Arabidopsis thaliana: one gene and its partners. The protein of the gene in region 1 purifies or fractionates together with the protein of each later gene. This does not show direct contact. Each region holds a gene or a part of one and is shown in the gene's direction. Other genes may lie near its edges. The genes, in order: smB, SmD3, AT1G20580 and AT3G07590.

Region 1 (4,334 bases):
AAATCTTTAAATGGATGCATCTAATAACGTTTTATATACATTGCACAGAAACTTGAGTGGGAACAATCTTAGCGGCTCAATTCCTCAAAGCCTTCTCAACATGGAAAAGAATGGGCTAATAACGTTGCTGTATAATGGAAATAACCTCTGTTTGGATCCATCATGCGAAAGTGAAACTGGTCCTGGGAATAACAAAAAGAAATTGCTAGTACCTATTCTTGCATCAGCTGCTTCTGTGGGAATTATTATAGCTGTGCTTCTTCTCGTCAACATTCTCTTACTTAGAAAGAAGAAGCCATCCAAAGGTAAGCTCAGGACTAATTAAAACTCATTAACTTCAAATTTGTACTTAAGTATATAATGTATGGTATATAATAGCTTCACGCTCATCAATGGTGGCGAACAAGAGAAGCTATACTTATGAAGAGGTTGCGGTAATTACAAACAATTTTGAGAGACCTCTTGGCGAAGGAGGATTTGGAGTCGTGTACCACGGTAATGTAAATGATAACGAACAAGTGGCTGTAAAGGTGCTCTCTGAATCCTCAGCTCAAGGATATAAGCAATTTAAAGCTGAGGTACCTTCACTATCATTAAGTTTAATTATTCATATACTCAAATAAAATGTATATATATGATTTACCAACTTTTGGGTTACTTGTGGTTTGCTAGGTAGACCTTCTTCTCAGAGTACACCACATAAATTTAGTAACTCTTGTTGGTTATTGTGACGAAGGACAACACTTGGTCCTCATCTACGAGTACATGTCCAATGGAAACTTAAAACAACATCTATCTGGTAACCTTGATTACCTAATTTGTTTCTAAACACAATGATCGTGTGTCATCTTATAACATACACACATCTTTATGAGTACAGGAGAAAATTCTAGGTCCCCTTTGAGTTGGGAAAATAGGCTAAGAATTGCTGCAGAGACAGCACAAGGTTCGTTTGAAGTTTTGAGAAAAAGATAACATTGCAAATTTTTTGAGATGTTCACTTCTCTTGGTGAGTTTTGAAATAAACCTTTTATGAGTTGTATTATATAGGACTGGAGTACTTGCATATCGGCTGCAAACCACCAATGATTCATAGAGATATCAAATCTATGAATATACTTCTTGATAATAATTTCCAGGCCAAACTTGGTGATTTCGGGCTTTCAAGATCTTTTCCGGTGGGAAGTGAAACTCATGTGTCAACAAATGTTGCTGGATCTCCAGGTTATCTTGACCCTGAGTAAGTGGTCTATAACAATACTTAATGAACTTAAGTTGTGTCTTTCTCTTTCCATCTGGTAAATTTTTTATTCATTCGTATTATAGATATTACCGAACAAACTGGTTGACAGAGAAGAGTGATGTCTTCAGTTTTGGAGTCGTATTACTGGAAATCATCACAAGTCAGCCAGTGATTGACCAAACTCGTGAGAAGTCTCACATAGGAGAATGGGTGGGATTTAAGTTAACCAATGGAGATATCAAAAATATTGTGGATCCAAGTATGAACGGTGATTATGACTCTAGTTCATTGTGGAAGGCTCTTGAGTTAGCAATGTCATGCGTCAGTCCATCTTCATCCGGAAGACCAAATATGTCCCAGGTTGCTAATGAACTACAAGAGTGTCTCTTAACTGAGAACTCAAGGAAAGGAGGGAGACATGACGTGGACTCCAAGAGTTCTCTTGAACAGAGCACAAGCTTTGGTCCTGAACATATCCCTGATGCACGCTAGTTCATGCCAAGTTCAGGAATACACGTGTGTTTTGAATAACAAAATATTTCCTTATTCAATGTATCAGATTTGTTTTAATCTTGTTGAACTTTACACATTTGTTCCCGATTAAACTTTGACATTTGCTGATTTGCTCCATAAAATAAGCTTAGTGAAACTTGGAGCCTCAAACTAACAAATATTGTAGCCTATTCAACTAATTGCAGCCCAAGTCCAATATGTTTGGGCCCATAATGAAAGTAAGCCCATAAACAAGAGTGTATTCATTTATAAACCCTAGAAATTTCCCACTTCCCGATTTGCACAGCCAAACCCCCCCAATTTTGGCCTCTCGATTTAGTTTTTTGAAACCCTAAGCTCGATTTCGATCCTCCGGCATACTCGGTTTCGCCGCCGAATCTCTGCTTGTAGCGAGTGTTACTATTCAATCGGCGAGAATGTCGATGTCGAAGAGTTCAAAGATGCTTCAGTTCATCAACTACAGGATGCGAGTGACGATCCAAGACGGAAGACAGCTCGTTGGGAAGTTCATGGCGTTTGACCGTCACATGAACCTCGTTCTCGGCGATTGCGAGGAGTTTCGTAAGCTTCCACCAGCTAAAGGGAAGAAGATCAACGAAGAGCGTGAAGATCGCCGTACGCTAGGTTTAGTGTTGCTTAGAGGTGAAGAAGTTATCTCAATGACTGTCGAAGGACCACCTCCTCCTGAAGAATCTCGTGCTAAAGCTGGCTCTGCAGCTGCTGTTGCTGGTCCAGGAATTGGCCGTGCCGCTGGGCGTGGAGTTCCTACTGGTCCGTTAGTTCAAGCTCAGCCTGGTTTATCTGGTCCTGTTCGTGGTGTTGGTGGACCTGCTCCGGGAATGATGCAGCCTCAGATCTCTCGTCCACCACAGCTTTCAGCTCCTCCGATTATTCGACCTCCGGGACAGATGTTGCCACCGCCTCCTTTTGGTGGTCAAGGTCCTCCTATGGGAAGAGGTCCTCCACCGCCTTATGGTATGAGGCCACCGCCACAGCAGTTTTCTGGACCACCACCGCCTCAGTATGGGCAAAGGCCAATGATTCCTCCTCCTGGTGGTATGATGAGAGGACCTCCTCCTCCACCTCATGGAATGCAAGGACCTCCTCCGCCTCGCCCTGGAATGCCTCCTGCTCCTGGTGGTTTTGCTCCACCGCGTCCTGGCATGCCACCACATAATCAGCAGCAGTGATTAGGTTAGCAGTGAATGAACAGGACTCTTGTCTCGGCTTTTTACTGTTTTTGTCGCTGTTTTCTTGAGATTATGAAGGCTTTAAGATGTTTGATTGAACTTCCTCAGGTTTACGGTATCGTGCTATCATGTTGCCTTTCATTGACTTTAGCCGCAATTTCTCATCTATCTTAGCTTTCAAAGTTTGTAGATTTGTTGACGAGTGAGTTGTCTTTGCCTTATCTTCTTGTGTTTTCTTTTAAGAACGAATCCATTAAACTTTGTTATGTCTTCTTAAGGTAAACATCTATCTTGAGGATCGTTTTACATTGCTAACTCTTTTGAGGTTGAAACAGCAACTTTCTTGCGCCATTTCGAGGAACTTAATAACATCTTAGAAAGCTAGAAACTAAGCTAGTGATCACATCTGAATCTTACTCGAACAAGGGCTAAATCGGTTCTACTATTGATCACCTCTCTTGTCCTTGTTTATGGATTGTTTAGGTAGAAGTCAAAACCTTGTTTAGGGAGCTATGGATGTTGTGATGAATCGTGGATACATTCAGCTATTTGTGATGAAGAACTCGTCGATCTATAAAAAGATTAACAAGTCACATTACCTTGCAATTTTGGATATAGTTCAAATCTAACCAAAATTCTGTTGGTTCAGTTTGGTTGGGTTTCACATTCTTACATATGTTAATTTTGATGAAATGAAATTGTGAATTAGTGTGGTTAGTTGAATGGTAAGTAATACTTGTTTATAGTGAATTATTTTTCAGAACTTTCAATTATTCAATAAGGCTTGGTCACTAACCAAGATTTGACAAGTGAGAACGTATACAAATGGTGTTGACTTACACTGCACACTGCGATTGTTTGGCTGTGTAAGAATTGTGCCGTTGAAGGTTAAAGATAGAAAACAAAACAAAAGTACGAAAGGTAATAAAAAAAAGTCAAAAACATAGGTGTGAGTGTGACCCATTAACACTCCTAATGATGCTTCACGTTAACCCCACCATTGCTAAATCTCAGCTTTATAATTTTAAAAGATCAAAAGAATATTACAAGGCTGCGACAACTTTAAAGGTTAATATATAGTCGTTACTTGTTTATTTCTTAATCGGAGATTCGGTATGATACTCATTATTACGGATTGGAGTTTTCATTTAGTATCAGACTATTTCTTATTGATAAGGTTTATATACATGCTTAAAATCAAGAAAAATCGAATACTTGTTATTGTTACATTGTTTTCTTTTAAAATTTCAGTGCAAAACTGTGGAACTGAATTAAGTAAAAAAACTATAAAGAGGATAGAAATGGGACCCGACGACAAGTTCCAACAGCTAAATTTTGCAAAACTCTGGTTTTTCAATAACACTGTGCTCGTCCTTTTCATTGCCTCT
Region 2 (3,797 bases), on another chromosome or scaffold:
TCACTTTGAATCCTAGCTTCTTGAGTTTCAACATGACCTGTCCAAATAAATTAATATCTTTACTATGATTCTATGTTAAATATTAATGTACTGTGACGGAGCTAACGTATAAAGCAAGGGATTGATTATATATAACCTCAAAATATGGAAGTTCAACCAAATAAGCCTGATTGAACAAACATGTAATTCAAAACTCTGTGATAGTTAGTTTTACCTCAGGAGGAGAGGATCCTCCGCTCATAACCTGTACGGTCCATGGAAACGACTTCTTGACCGAGTCTCTTGCATTAGCAATCATGTTGAGAACCGGAGGCGAGCCACCAAAGTTAGTTACCTTGTGCTTCACGATACTATCAAATATAACTTCGTCGTTGACTTCCCTGAGACAGACGATGACTCCTCCAAAAGCCGTAACTGTCCAAATATAGCACCACCCGCTACAATGATACATAGGAACTGTACATAGATAAACCGGCATTGGTTTCATCTCATTCATAACACCAACAGCAGTTGCGTTCAGATAGGCACCGCGATGACTATAGACGACACATTTGGGAGTCGATGTGGTTCCAGATGTGAAGTTGAGGGCGATTGGATCACATTCGTCAACTGGTCGTATTGGTTTGAAATTAGGGTTTCCAGTGGAGAGAAAATCCTCGTATTGTTCATATTTTGATTGCTCTGTTGGATTTTCTGTGATTGTGATGATGAGAGGTTTTTCTTCAATGTTTGAGAGGAGACTGAGAGATTCTTCAGCGACAGAGAGGAACTCAGAGTCAACGAAGAATACTTTTGGCTTCGTTTTCTCCAGCGCCATCGCAAGCATCTGAGAATCGAATGTCGTGTTCAACACGCAAAGTACTGCTCCAGCCATCGGAGCTCCAAAATAAAGCTCGCATAACGCAGGAACATTTGGCGCTAAAGCAGCCACCTGATAAAAGAAATAGTTTAAACAAAAGAAAAAAGTATGACCAATATATAAAAGTCGTTTAACCACTTACAACGTCATGGCGAGAGAGACCAAGGTCAGAGAGAGCAGATGCAAGGCGGACGCAACGGTCACGTGTTTGGTGCCACGTGTACTGAATATCACCATACACGACAGAGGTTCTGGAGCCGAAGACGACAGCAGCTCTCTCGAGAAAGCTGATCGGAGAAAGCGGGACGTAATTCGCTGAGCACCTCATTGTTCCTTCCATTTCTTTTCTATTGTTATTCTCTATTGAGCTACTAAAATCATATAAAAATTGTGGAGTATTTATAGGCAAACTATTTTGTGTAACGCTCCAAACAATTAATATGGAATCTTTGATTAATATGGACTACAAGAAGCCAAATTGGCAATTAAATCAGAATCTGTGAAGAAGATTTGTACATTGCAACATCTGTTTAGAGAATCTGAGTTGTCACAACTTTTTTTTTTGAATCTAATCACCACTCGGCTAGTTGTCACAAGTGTAGAGGAGCTTTAATTTACAAACAGTTCTTATCTTTTTATTTTTTTGGGTCAACTAAACAAATCTTATCTTATCTTATACTAATAAAACTTAAGAGTAAAAACAAAGTAACAAAAAAGGCACACAACATTCAACTAATGGGCCCAATAAACTAATGGGCCGATCCAAAATCTAAATAAGAAGTCCATAAGAGTGTGGAGCTTTAACGAGAGAAGCTAAATTGTTCAAAGCTTTTTGGCTGCTAAAAAGGAAAAGGGAAGGTTCAATTAGGGTTTAGTGAATCGACGAAGATGAGTCGGAGTTTGGGGATTCCGGTGAAGCTTCTTCACGAATCGTCCGGTCATATCGTGAGTGTAGAGATGAAGAGCGGTGAGCTTTACAGAGGAAGCATGATCGAGTGTGAGGATAATTGGAACTGTCAGCTCGAGAACATCACCTATACGGCCAAGGTAATGTCTTACTAAGTTACTAGGGTTTCGTTTCTTGGCCATTGCCTATGTAGGAGCTGTGAACAGTTTAGCTTCTTAGGTTGTCTCTTTCTTGTGATGTTGAGAGTAGTTCAATTTTGGAGGAGAATTGAGAATCCTTGTGAAATTCTTGACCCTTAAATTGTGTTCCTAGTAGTGATTGGGTTTAGTTCCTGTATATGCTAGTAGTAGAGAAGAAATGTTATTACAGGTCTTGCTTATGTTGTTACTATGTAGAATCATGACATGTTTGCGATTAAACAAATTACAAGACTATATAATTGATCTTGAATTGTTACTACAGATATATGCTCTTACACATTTGTAGATTGTGATTAGAAATTTAGTATCTTCTATTCATGATTGTTACTAAACTTTCGTTTGGGCTCTTTATGGAACAGGATGGTAAGGTATCACAGCTTGAGCATGTCTTCATTCGAGGCAGCTTAGTCAGGTGCTGCTAGATATAAACTCCTTTTGACATCTCTGCTTGTTTCCTACTTATTTACTTTTGTTGGAGTATTCTTTTTCAACTTAGCTGACTGTTATGTGACATTTTGTAAAATCTTGACAGGTTTTTAGTCATACCAGACATGTTAAAGAATGCTCCAATGTTCAAGGATGTTAGGGGCAAGGTAAACTTCTTGAACGTGATGGAGAATATCAATCCCATCTATGCTTTATAAACATGGAAGCTAATAAACATCTTGTTTACTTGATCAATACAGGGAAAGAGCGCTTCACTAGGTGTAGGCAGAGGTAGAGGTGCTGCAATGCGAGCCAAAGTAAGTTCACCTTTGCCTAAGTCCTTAATGTTTCTGATTTACATCTCAAGAAGACAATGTTGACAATTCAAAGCAACTAATTGAATTTTGTGATGTCATACTCAGGGTACTGGGCGTGGAACAGGAGGAGGAAGAGGGGCTGTGCCACCTGTGAGGAGATAGTTTAGTTAACCCTCGTAATGTAGCTTCGGCTCGTGAGACATTCTCTGCAGTATCCATGAGAATCCGCCATCTTCAGCTCGTCACTTATGCATTTAAGGTACACAGCAAGTAAAATCTCTAAGACATGGAGGGAAGAGAGAAAGAGGAACTAGTTCTGTGTTTTGGGTTACTAAGATGTTTGAAAAATTGACATGTTTTGTTAATGTGGTCATTGAGAGACTTCCCACATCTTATGTATAATATAGCACGATTCAAATTTCTATAATGAATGATTCGTCTTTTTAATCTTGGTAGAAATCAGAAATCATAAAATGATGGTTTTCTAAAAGCGGTCGTTTTTATCCATTTATTATATTCATTCGTTTATTAATCTGATAAAGATGGTCGGATAAAAACGGAGAAGACACTTGAGTTGTAGTAGGAAATAAAACATTCGACATAGGTAATGGTAAAAAGCGGCAACCGCGATTTCATGGTTTAGTTTCGGCCACCATGACTGGACCGCGGCCCGAGCGGCTTCAGCATAGGTAGTTGTAAAATCGACTGGTTCTTGTTTTTTTCAAGAAATTTAGCGACTTGAACGACCAAGTCAAGAGATCAAAGTGATTATGTCCACAAAACCAGAAGCCTAATTTATTTTCGCGACAAATGTTGTGAACTTGTGATTGTGAGTGATAAGATATGACTTGGACATTTGGAAAGAAGAGCGGAAAAATATGTTGAAATGAAGAACCCTAAAAAGTTAAGAGTTTTAAAAAACGCTTTCTGTTATTCTCTTATCAACGAAAATGAGAAGACTAAACCATCCACAGATATTTCGAAAACAAACAAGTGAACCCACACAGAGATACGTACGTGTTCAGAAACTTCCCCCCCATATGATGCAACTTATGTTGCTCTCTCTTCAGTGATAAAATTAGGTCAAG
Region 3 (4,500 bases), on another chromosome or scaffold:
TGCGACTCTCTGAAGTCAAAGTAAGTGAAGTTTCTAAACGACATGATCAGAGTTCAACTGTTAAGAGAAATCTATGAAGCAATGGAACAAATGAAGAGTATAAAGAGAGACTCGTGTGTTGTTGAGTTGCTTGGTGTGTCTTAAGTTGTAAGCAGGAGATAGACGAGGCCTTTTAGATATTCCACTATTTCAGATCCTCCGAGTTTCGAAGTTCCAAAGACTCTGTCAACAAAAGTGATCGGTACCTGCAGATGAAGATGAGCACCAGAGAATCAAGAATATGAATGGAAATATAGTTTAGAAAGAATCAAAATCACAGTGAATTGGTATAAAAAGAGAGACCTCTTCAATATGGTATCCTTTTCTGGTTGCACGAACAATCATTTCCATCTGAAAGACATACCCTTTACTCACACATGAGCTAATCACGTCTTCAAGCGCCGATTTCTTGTATAGCCTTCCAAACAAAGAGGTGCGGAGGTCAGACATGATACTATCAAATGATGTCAGTTAAAAATATGCGCATATGTTATTTGAATTATACCGGAATGATCCTGTTAAATCAGATACACCAGGCCATAAAAGTGTTTGAGCTAGCACATTTGCTCCTCTACTAGTGAGTTTCCGCATAAGATTCCACCCGTGTACACCACCACCTTTTACATATCGTGTACCAGTTACTATACTTGCATTTGTCTCTAGTTGTTTCCTTTATGATAATAAGAAAAAAAACAAATCAGTTGAAGTCACTATAGGTTGTGAAACTAGTAAGAGATCAAGAGACTCTTCTTTTTCTTACTTGATGAAACTTGGTAAGTATTTTGGCTGCACAGAAGAAAAGTGACTGGGTTAGCTAAACAATTAAACAGGTAAACAAGAAAACTAAATTAATGGCTCTTACATGATGTGAAAGATCAGCATCCATGATCACGACGAAATCACCCGTAGCATGCTTCAAACCATGAATATATGCAGTTCCTGAGATTGACCATGCCAAGAAAATTAATTTCATTTCTTGTTAACCAAAACTAGAAGACAATGAAGATACAAATTACATACCCAAACCAAGCTTCTTGGCTCTAGCTCTTAAAAGCTGCATCATAAAAAAGATAAAAACATGATTTCACCTAAACAGAAGAACGCCCAATAATTTACAAATTAAGGTCTTAACACATCATTGTACTCACGATACGGTCTTCACCATACAATTGCTGCAGTTGCTTGACAATTTCCTGTGTGCCATCAGGACTCCCATCATCCACAACAATTATCTCAAAATCAACGTCCCTAAATCATACAAACAAGTAGCGAAGCAAATTCTCAGTAACAGTTAACAAAGAGTCTACTTAACAAGTGCAATTCTATATTAATTTCATATAAGCAGCCATAACCAGAATCGATCTAAGATTAGCACATGTAGCTTCTGACTATTCTCCGATCACTAAATCAAAGTTTTTAAAACACCATGAAACTACTACTATATAGTTTGAGGGATCACTACATTGGCCTTTACTAGCTCATGCACAGAAACAACAAATCACGAATTAGGATCTGCAATCTACAGAAACATGATCGGAAAATTTCCGAGATCCGTAACTTGAAATTGGCGATCAGGTTCGAGTATTCAGTAAAAGAATAACAAAAAACGTAATTCCGATTCTGAAATGAAAGAATGAACGTGAAAAGACCAAAAGAAATAAATATTCATTTACCGGAGATGCTTGAAAATCAGGTAGACTATGATAGCGATGTTGAGGCGCTCGTTGTAGGTAGGAATGATTATGCTATACTTGTACTTCTTCTCTCCTTTGGTCTCCATCTCGTCCGCCATCTCTTCCGGCGAGTTTTGGTAACGGTGGTTCCTTCGTCTTAACCCGTGAAATCAGCCGTCGTCTGTACAAAAATAAGGATTAAAATAATGTCAAATATAGGGACTAAAAAGCAAGTTTCTCAAATTGGGCCTAATATAAATATGGGCCTATATAAAGCCCAAAAATAAATCAGGAAAGCTTTAAAAGAGGTAAACTCGTCAATCGCATCTGAGTCGCTCTTCTTTCCTTCCGCCATTTTTTTCTTTCTAGGTTGCAGAGTTAAAGGAGAAGGTTTTCAATTAGGGTTTTGTAGAGAGAAAGATGAGCCGAAGTTTGGGAATACCGGTGAAGCTTCTTCACGAGGCCTCAGGTCATATCGTGACGGTGGAGCTAAAGAGCGGCGAGCTTTACAGAGGAAGTATGATTGAGTGTGAGGATAACTGGAACTGTCAGCTCGAGGATATTACTTATACCGCCAAGGTAATCAACTGATACTCTGAAGATCTCGATTCATTTTATATGAGACTGTTTTTTGAACCATAGGTTTCGTTTCAATTTCATTGTTTGATGTTAGTGCTGTTAAAACCCTAGATTTGGTGAGCTGGGCAAATTTGCTGGGAAATTTTAGATTGCTTCTTATTTTAAGTTCTAAGTGAGATTAAGAATCCTTGAAATTCATGCTGTATAAAACCCTAGAATGCGTGATCCTGCCAGTGACATTAGATAAATTTTGACTGTAGGGTATAGTCTCCTCTGATTGGTTAAACTTATTATTGATCTATAGGACACATCAATAACTGAGAAGAAAGGTTCTACGTTTGTGCTTTGTAACGTTTTATCCAAAGCCTAAGTTGCTCTTTAGGAATACAGTGGTCAAATGTGAATTATCTGAAGTATGCAGGTCTTAAAGCGTCCTCTTATTTGCGGATTATTGTGCCGTATGGGTTTTGAGTCAACCTGTAATTATTGGGAAAAGAACTACATGTAGTTCTCAATTCAGAAAGTCTTAACTCTTTAAGTGTTATTCTTCATAGTATACATAAATAATCTGTCAACTTAATGGGTTTGTTTGTTAATTGTCACTGAACTTTTGTTTTGGGTTTTCCAATGCTGTGTTACAGGATGGTAAGGTATCACAGCTTGAGCATGTCTTCATTCGAGGCAGTAAAGTCAGGTGCTGTACTTGTTTCCTTGTTTATGTAATTCATGGGATCATTCTTGTTAACCCTAGCTGTTTAGTAATTGACCTGCGGATATATCTTGACAGGTTTATGGTCATACCAGACATTCTCAAACATGCTCCAATGTTCAAGCGGTTAGATGCTAGAATCAAGGTATATATGCTTTTTGAACCCTGGATGCAGAATGATATTAGGATCTCTATACATATCTCCAACAAACATCTTACCTTACTTGCTTAATCAATGTAGGGAAAGAGCTCATCACTGGGTGTTGGCAGAGGTAGAGGTGCAATGCGAGGGAAAGTAAGTTCACCCTCTCTCTCTTATGATTTAGTGCTCATGAATGCAATGTTAGGAAGTTTTATGGAACTTGTTAAGATGTTCAAATCCTTGTTATCCCTTAATGGTTTGTTTCTTCTTTGTCACTACTAATGGTTAGATTCTTGAATCTTTGTGATATTATCTTAAAGCCGGCTGCCGGGCCCGGGCGTGGAACTGGAGGAAGGGGAGCGGTACCACCTGTGAGGAGATGATTGATTTTACGCTCAACATGTAAGCTTTGATTCTGGGATAGTCTTTCTGTGATATCCAGGTGAAAGCCGCCTTTCTTGGTTCTGTCATTAATGCTTTAGAGAACACTGTAAAACCAAACAAGAGAGAGAGATATCCAGATGCACTACTAGTTCTGTATTTTGGGTTACCAAGATGTTTGAATCATTGACAAGTTTTCGTTGTGATCTATTTTCTTCTTTGCGCATTCTCCATTTCTGACAGTAGATGAGTAAAACAAAGTACATTGTTTTCATAAAGGTCTTAATAAGACTAAGATCAGAAAACAAAGTTGGTCATTTATAACATTAATAATATAAGCTAGAAAATAATATTGTACTTGTATTTTCAACATGTAAAACCTTGTCTACTGCTATTTTCCCAAATTATCCAAAAAATTTCCAAAATGACTTGTACAATATTTAGTCTATAAAAGTTTAGTTCCAGAGTACCAGCAAACACCAAAACGACTTGTAGAAGAATATTTGATGGAGTGTAGAGGTTCGGTTCCTGAGTAATATTAACCAAAATGGGTCATAGAGTTTCCTGAGTATTTTACAACGATTATACATGAAATTAGTAGGATCAATTCACAAGTTGAATATAGGAAAGCATGATATCAAAAGATTCTTTTTATTCTCTCTCAAGTGAAGAAAGATCTTAAAGACCTTAAAAAGAGAAGAACCGAACCAACCATTGTACATATCCCATTTGGGCAACTTGCTCTATCTCTCTTTCTCTCACACTCTTTTTGTTCAAAAGAAAAACTCGAGTTATGTCATATTAGATTCTTATTATAGTTTTTTCCTCCCTTAAAGCAGAAACCCAGCTGGTTCACTTCTTGCAGCATGAAAGAACTTAGATGTGTTGTACTTCCTGTGAGCTTCCCTGTTCCTGCCTTGTGATGAAAAGCAACCATCTTTCTCGCACATGCCCTAGGAAAAAACACAAAACCCATT
Region 4 (3,766 bases), on another chromosome or scaffold:
AGTTTGAAGTTAGTTCCACCTGATGAGGTAGTTTACCCCAAACACTCCCTCCATAGTACATGATTGGTCGCACTGTGAAACAGAGAAAGTAGGCAAACTTGAAAATCAGTTATACTTGACTAACCGGAAGACAGAGATCCAGATAAGAACATAGATATATCTGATTGTATTTGGAGGCAACTCAAGCAGCACAAGTATAATAGACACAAAGGACAAAGGAAAACTTAGAATCCCTTAATCTCACCAGATAGATCCACAGTTGGGTCGTCGTATTGATGCATTTCAGCTGCCCATCCTGTTCATGACAAATCAAGAGCACGTAAATAAGACAAGTACATAAAACTGACTGCATAAGCAGTGAATTCAACACACCTTATCTATTAAGTTCAAAGATTTCTAAAACTAGCACTGACTCAACAAATGCTTAGCATAGCAACAGTTGATAGAAGAACGACCAGATAGTGATACAGAGCAAAGAATAAACCAGCTAAATGTTTAAAGAGATAGTTCAGATTTATACGTTGGCTCATGAGCTGATAAGCTGCACTCCTGGAGCAGTCCTTTATTGTTATTATCCTCTGGGTCTGGGATATGTTTTCCATCTGAAGACCAGTAGCAGGAGGCTGATTTCTCTCATTATCGTTGTTCTGTTGGCTACTTGTTCGATCTGCATTTCACTCTTTATTTAGCCAAGAACCATAGCATACTAGCAAAACCAGATATAGCTTGAACGACGATTTATTTTCAAGAAAACAGGCAAACAAATGGGTCAAGTACACACATGGAGAAATGAATCAACCAGCGGATTTGCTAATAAAGAGAGAGCGAGATCTGAATTTCAGGCTAAACTCCTAATAATTCACTTTCTTAGAAACGGTTCTTGAAGTTACCAACTATGCACAAACACAATGTGTACAGATTCGCATGCAATCAATTCCTGAATCTACAAAACAAGATTACTTCTATTCATCGACAATCTTTGATCTAAGCTATAATCTCCACAGAACTAGATACTCTCGGAATTAAGAACCGAATTGATTAAGAATCAATAAAGAACGACTGAGGCAAAGAAGACAGAGAGAGAGAGAGAGAGCTCACATACCTCCCGACTTCCGGCGATTCCCAGAAGCCTTCCTGTGACACGGAGAAGCAACATCGAAAGGTAAGAACGGAGTAGCGAAATCAGTAGAATAAAGAACACTCGAAATCAGCAGATCAAAGACCACTGAAGAAGAAGAAGAAGAAGTTACCTTTGATTAGGAGGAGTGTATCGATTCTGATTGGAGCTCGAATCCGCCATTGACGAGTTAGGATTTACGCAGTTTTTTCAGAGAACTCTCTCTCTCTCTCTCTCTCTCTCTACCGGAGGAGATCTGTCAACAGTCAACTGTTTAACGCATAGAGAACGTTGAAAAGCGTCTTCTCGTCTGAAGTCGTTCAATCTTCACGCGCGAATTCTTCGACGCGTGTTTATCAACCTCTCGCGCGCTTTTATTACGCCTTTCCGAAATTAACGTTTCGTGTTCAATTTCCGGTTTGCTGAACCAACTGTATGTAGATTTCTGGTTGAAACATCTACTGGTCCACCATTGGACTTTATGGGCCTTACTACATTTTTGGGCCCAATATTGTAATTTAGCTGATGGATCCAAAACCGGAATCGGATCTGTACCCGCTCCATCGTGAGGTCTCTCACAGCGAAAGAAGGGTTTTGAGGGTTTTCACACCTTTCGCTGTTTCCTCGTCAATTTCTTTGTTTGGTTGTTCTTTCTTCGCATCCAAAGATGAAGCTCGTCAGGTACTGTTTCGTTCTCAGTTCTTCTTTTCTTTAGAAAATTCATGTTGTTCTTAATCTTAGTTAGCTCCTGGCATGGAATCCATTCCCAATATTGAGCCTGAGCTGATTTGTGTTATATGGTTTTGATTGGATCGAGTAGGTTTTTGATGAAGTTAAACAATGAAACTGTGTCTATCGAGCTGAAGAATGGGACTGTGGTCCATGGAACCATCACTGGTAAGTTCTTATTGTTAGCTTCCGGTTTCTTTGTAGCTCTTCTCATCTTTTCTTCTCTCTCGATTTCTCCGTTGCTAGGTCTTATACAAGTCGCGATCTGTTCCCTTATTTTCAATTGGCCCTAATCGCGTCCTTGTGATCACATGAATAGGTTGAGTAAACACACAGTTAGAGCCAGTAGTCATAAAGGTATATTTATTGAAGTTTAAGCTTGATGATTTGGGCAGGTGTTGATGTGAGCATGAACACTCACTTGAAGACAGTGAAGATGAGCCTGAAGGGGAAAAACCCAGTAACACTTGATCATCTTAGCTTGAGGGGTAATAATATTCGCTACTACATTCTTCCTGATAGCTTGAACCTCGAGACTTTACTTGTGGAAGACACTCCTAGAGTTAAACCTAAGAAGCCTGTTGCTGGTACTGCTTCATTCATTTTTGGTGTTTGTAATATTCGTCTTCATAAGCTAAAAGACTTCTTTATCAGTCCATTTATTCGTTCTCTCTTTCTTTCTTCTTTAGGGAAAGCTGTTGGACGCGGTCGCGGACGTGGCCGTGGGCGTGGTCGCGGCAGAGGTCGTTAGATGTAGCAGCGCTCTGGAACATGTTGAAGGTTTGTGAGTTTAATTTTTAGGAGAATGTACGAGTTATGTAACTAGCAACTCTGGCAAAGGAAAGATTTGATTGAGAAATAGTATGATTGATGCTCTAGTAAGGAGTTACTTTGTAATGGAATTCCATGGATAACAAGATTTGGCTTTACATGTTATAAGAGCATCTACAAGTAGAGAATTTGTGTGATACTGATAGCTCAAGACTTTTTATTCATTTAACAAATCTGACTATCAAATTGCATTAACATGTTGACAATCTTAGTATAGAAAAACTGCTATCTCCTCCGTTAATCTTCCACATGAAACCTATCTCACATGATCCTGCAATTGGGATCTTGATTGTAAACGGGTTCCCCGATCTGATTGTAGGGATCACACGGGTAGGGATAGGAAGATGGCACACCATATCCATCATGAGGCCATGGTTGATAACATGGCTCAGGTTTTTGCCATGGTTGACAACATGGCTCAGGTTTCTTCTCTTCAGGTTTCTTCTCTTCGGGTTTCTTCTCTTCGGGTTTCTTTTCTTCTTCTGGCTTTTTGTCACCATCCTTAGGTGGTTCAACTTTAGCTACGCTAACAAGCTCCGCAAATGCAACTTTTTTCCTGAGTGTGTTGATTAGAGCAATCATATCGACTTCAACACCGGTCACCTCAATCTGGTTCCTGTGATCTCCCTTTATTTCCACAGCGTTCACGCCTATAAACCAATGCGATAAATCTTTAGATTCAACAAGAATTACAATCATCAAGTTCTCTAGTGTTTGTATCATTGTTACCTTTAAACTGAACCGCAGTTTTCATTGCCTTTGCTCGAGTTGTGTCATCAGTCATAGCAATTCTTATCAGGATCTTTTGCTGAGTACAATAAGAGAACTCCTTAACATCACAAAGAGAAGTCTCTCTCTTTCACAAGAGAATCGAAGTTATTACTTGTTGTTGAGTACACAGGAGACATACCTTCATGTTATTGTCTTCTGAGAATCCGCGTGATTTGTTTGATGGGAGTTTGCTCCGAACTTTTTTGTGTCTTCTTCGATCACAAATTAGAGGAAATATAAATAAGGATCGATTTTATATATTCATTTGTTCCATGAGTCGTTGTCTCACACAACGGAATCCGATAGTTTGAATATCGT

The links.
Region 2: the proteins of smB (region 1) and SmD3 fractionate together in Arabidopsis thaliana (co-fractionation; one large-scale study listed by BioGRID). This does not show direct contact.
Region 3: the proteins of smB (region 1) and AT1G20580 fractionate together in Arabidopsis thaliana (co-fractionation; one large-scale study listed by BioGRID). This does not show direct contact.
Region 4: the proteins of smB (region 1) and AT3G07590 fractionate together in Arabidopsis thaliana (co-fractionation; one large-scale study listed by BioGRID). This does not show direct contact.

Annotation. Positions count from the first base shown.
Region 1 is NC_003075.7:11,021,455-11,025,788, reverse strand, and holds smB (small nuclear ribonucleoprotein associated protein B), read left to right. Parts: upstream 1-1,937; 5' UTR 1,938-2,172; coding exon 2,173-2,946; 3' UTR 2,947-2,950; exon of another isoform or gene 2,951-3,054; 3' UTR 3,055-3,753; downstream 3,754-4,334. Other genes in the region: AT4G20450 (Leucine-rich repeat protein kinase family protein), read left to right, coding at 49-305, 379-578, 673-799, 881-946, 1,051-1,240, 1,327-1,735.
Region 2 is NC_003070.9:28,624,210-28,628,006, forward strand, and holds SmD3 (snRNP core protein SMD3), read left to right. Parts: upstream 1-1,661; 5' UTR 1,662-1,747; coding exon 1,748-1,906; intron 1,907-2,325; coding exon 2,326-2,378; intron 2,379-2,498; coding exon 2,499-2,559; intron 2,560-2,652; coding exon 2,653-2,709; intron 2,710-2,814; coding exon 2,815-2,871; 3' UTR 2,872-3,199; downstream 3,200-3,797. Other genes in the region: AT1G76290 (AMP-dependent synthetase and ligase family protein), read right to left, coding at 1-37, 215-931, 1,002-1,199. UniProt on the Arabidopsis thaliana protein: Core component of the spliceosomal U1, U2, U4 and U5 small nuclear ribonucleoproteins (snRNPs), the building blocks of the spliceosome. May play a minor role in the splicing of cellular pre-mRNAs.
Region 3 is NC_003070.9:7,126,847-7,131,346, forward strand, and holds AT1G20580 (Small nuclear ribonucleoprotein family protein), read left to right. Parts: upstream 1-2,020; 5' UTR 2,021-2,132; coding exon 2,133-2,291; intron 2,292-2,932; coding exon 2,933-2,985; intron 2,986-3,078; coding exon 3,079-3,145; intron 3,146-3,241; coding exon 3,242-3,295; intron 3,296-3,462; coding exon 3,463-3,525; 3' UTR 3,526-3,953; downstream 3,954-4,500. Other genes in the region: DPMS1 (Nucleotide-diphospho-sugar transferases superfamily protein), read right to left, coding at 141-245, 343-457, 545-709, 800-825, 902-978, 1,060-1,093, 1,188-1,287, 1,713-1,831; AT1G20590 (cyclin), read right to left, coding at 4,320-4,476. UniProt on the Arabidopsis thaliana protein: Core component of the spliceosomal U1, U2, U4 and U5 small nuclear ribonucleoproteins (snRNPs), the building blocks of the spliceosome. May play a major role in the splicing of cellular pre-mRNAs. Required for normal plant development.
Region 4 is NC_003074.8:2,421,362-2,425,127, forward strand, and holds AT3G07590 (Small nuclear ribonucleoprotein family protein), read left to right. Parts: upstream 1-1,689; 5' UTR 1,690-1,784; coding exon 1,785-1,798; intron 1,799-1,937; coding exon 1,938-2,014; intron 2,015-2,092; exon of another isoform or gene 2,093-2,228; coding exon of another isoform or gene 2,229-2,241; coding exon 2,242-2,433; intron 2,434-2,535; coding exon 2,536-2,597; 3' UTR 2,598-2,626; downstream 2,627-3,766. Other genes in the region: AT3G07580 (uncharacterized protein), read right to left, coding at 20-72, 245-295, 521-667, 1,103-1,134, 1,251-1,300; AT3G07600 (Heavy metal transport/detoxification superfamily protein), read right to left, coding at 2,939-3,327, 3,407-3,485, 3,588-3,593. UniProt on the Arabidopsis thaliana protein: Involved in splicing regulation.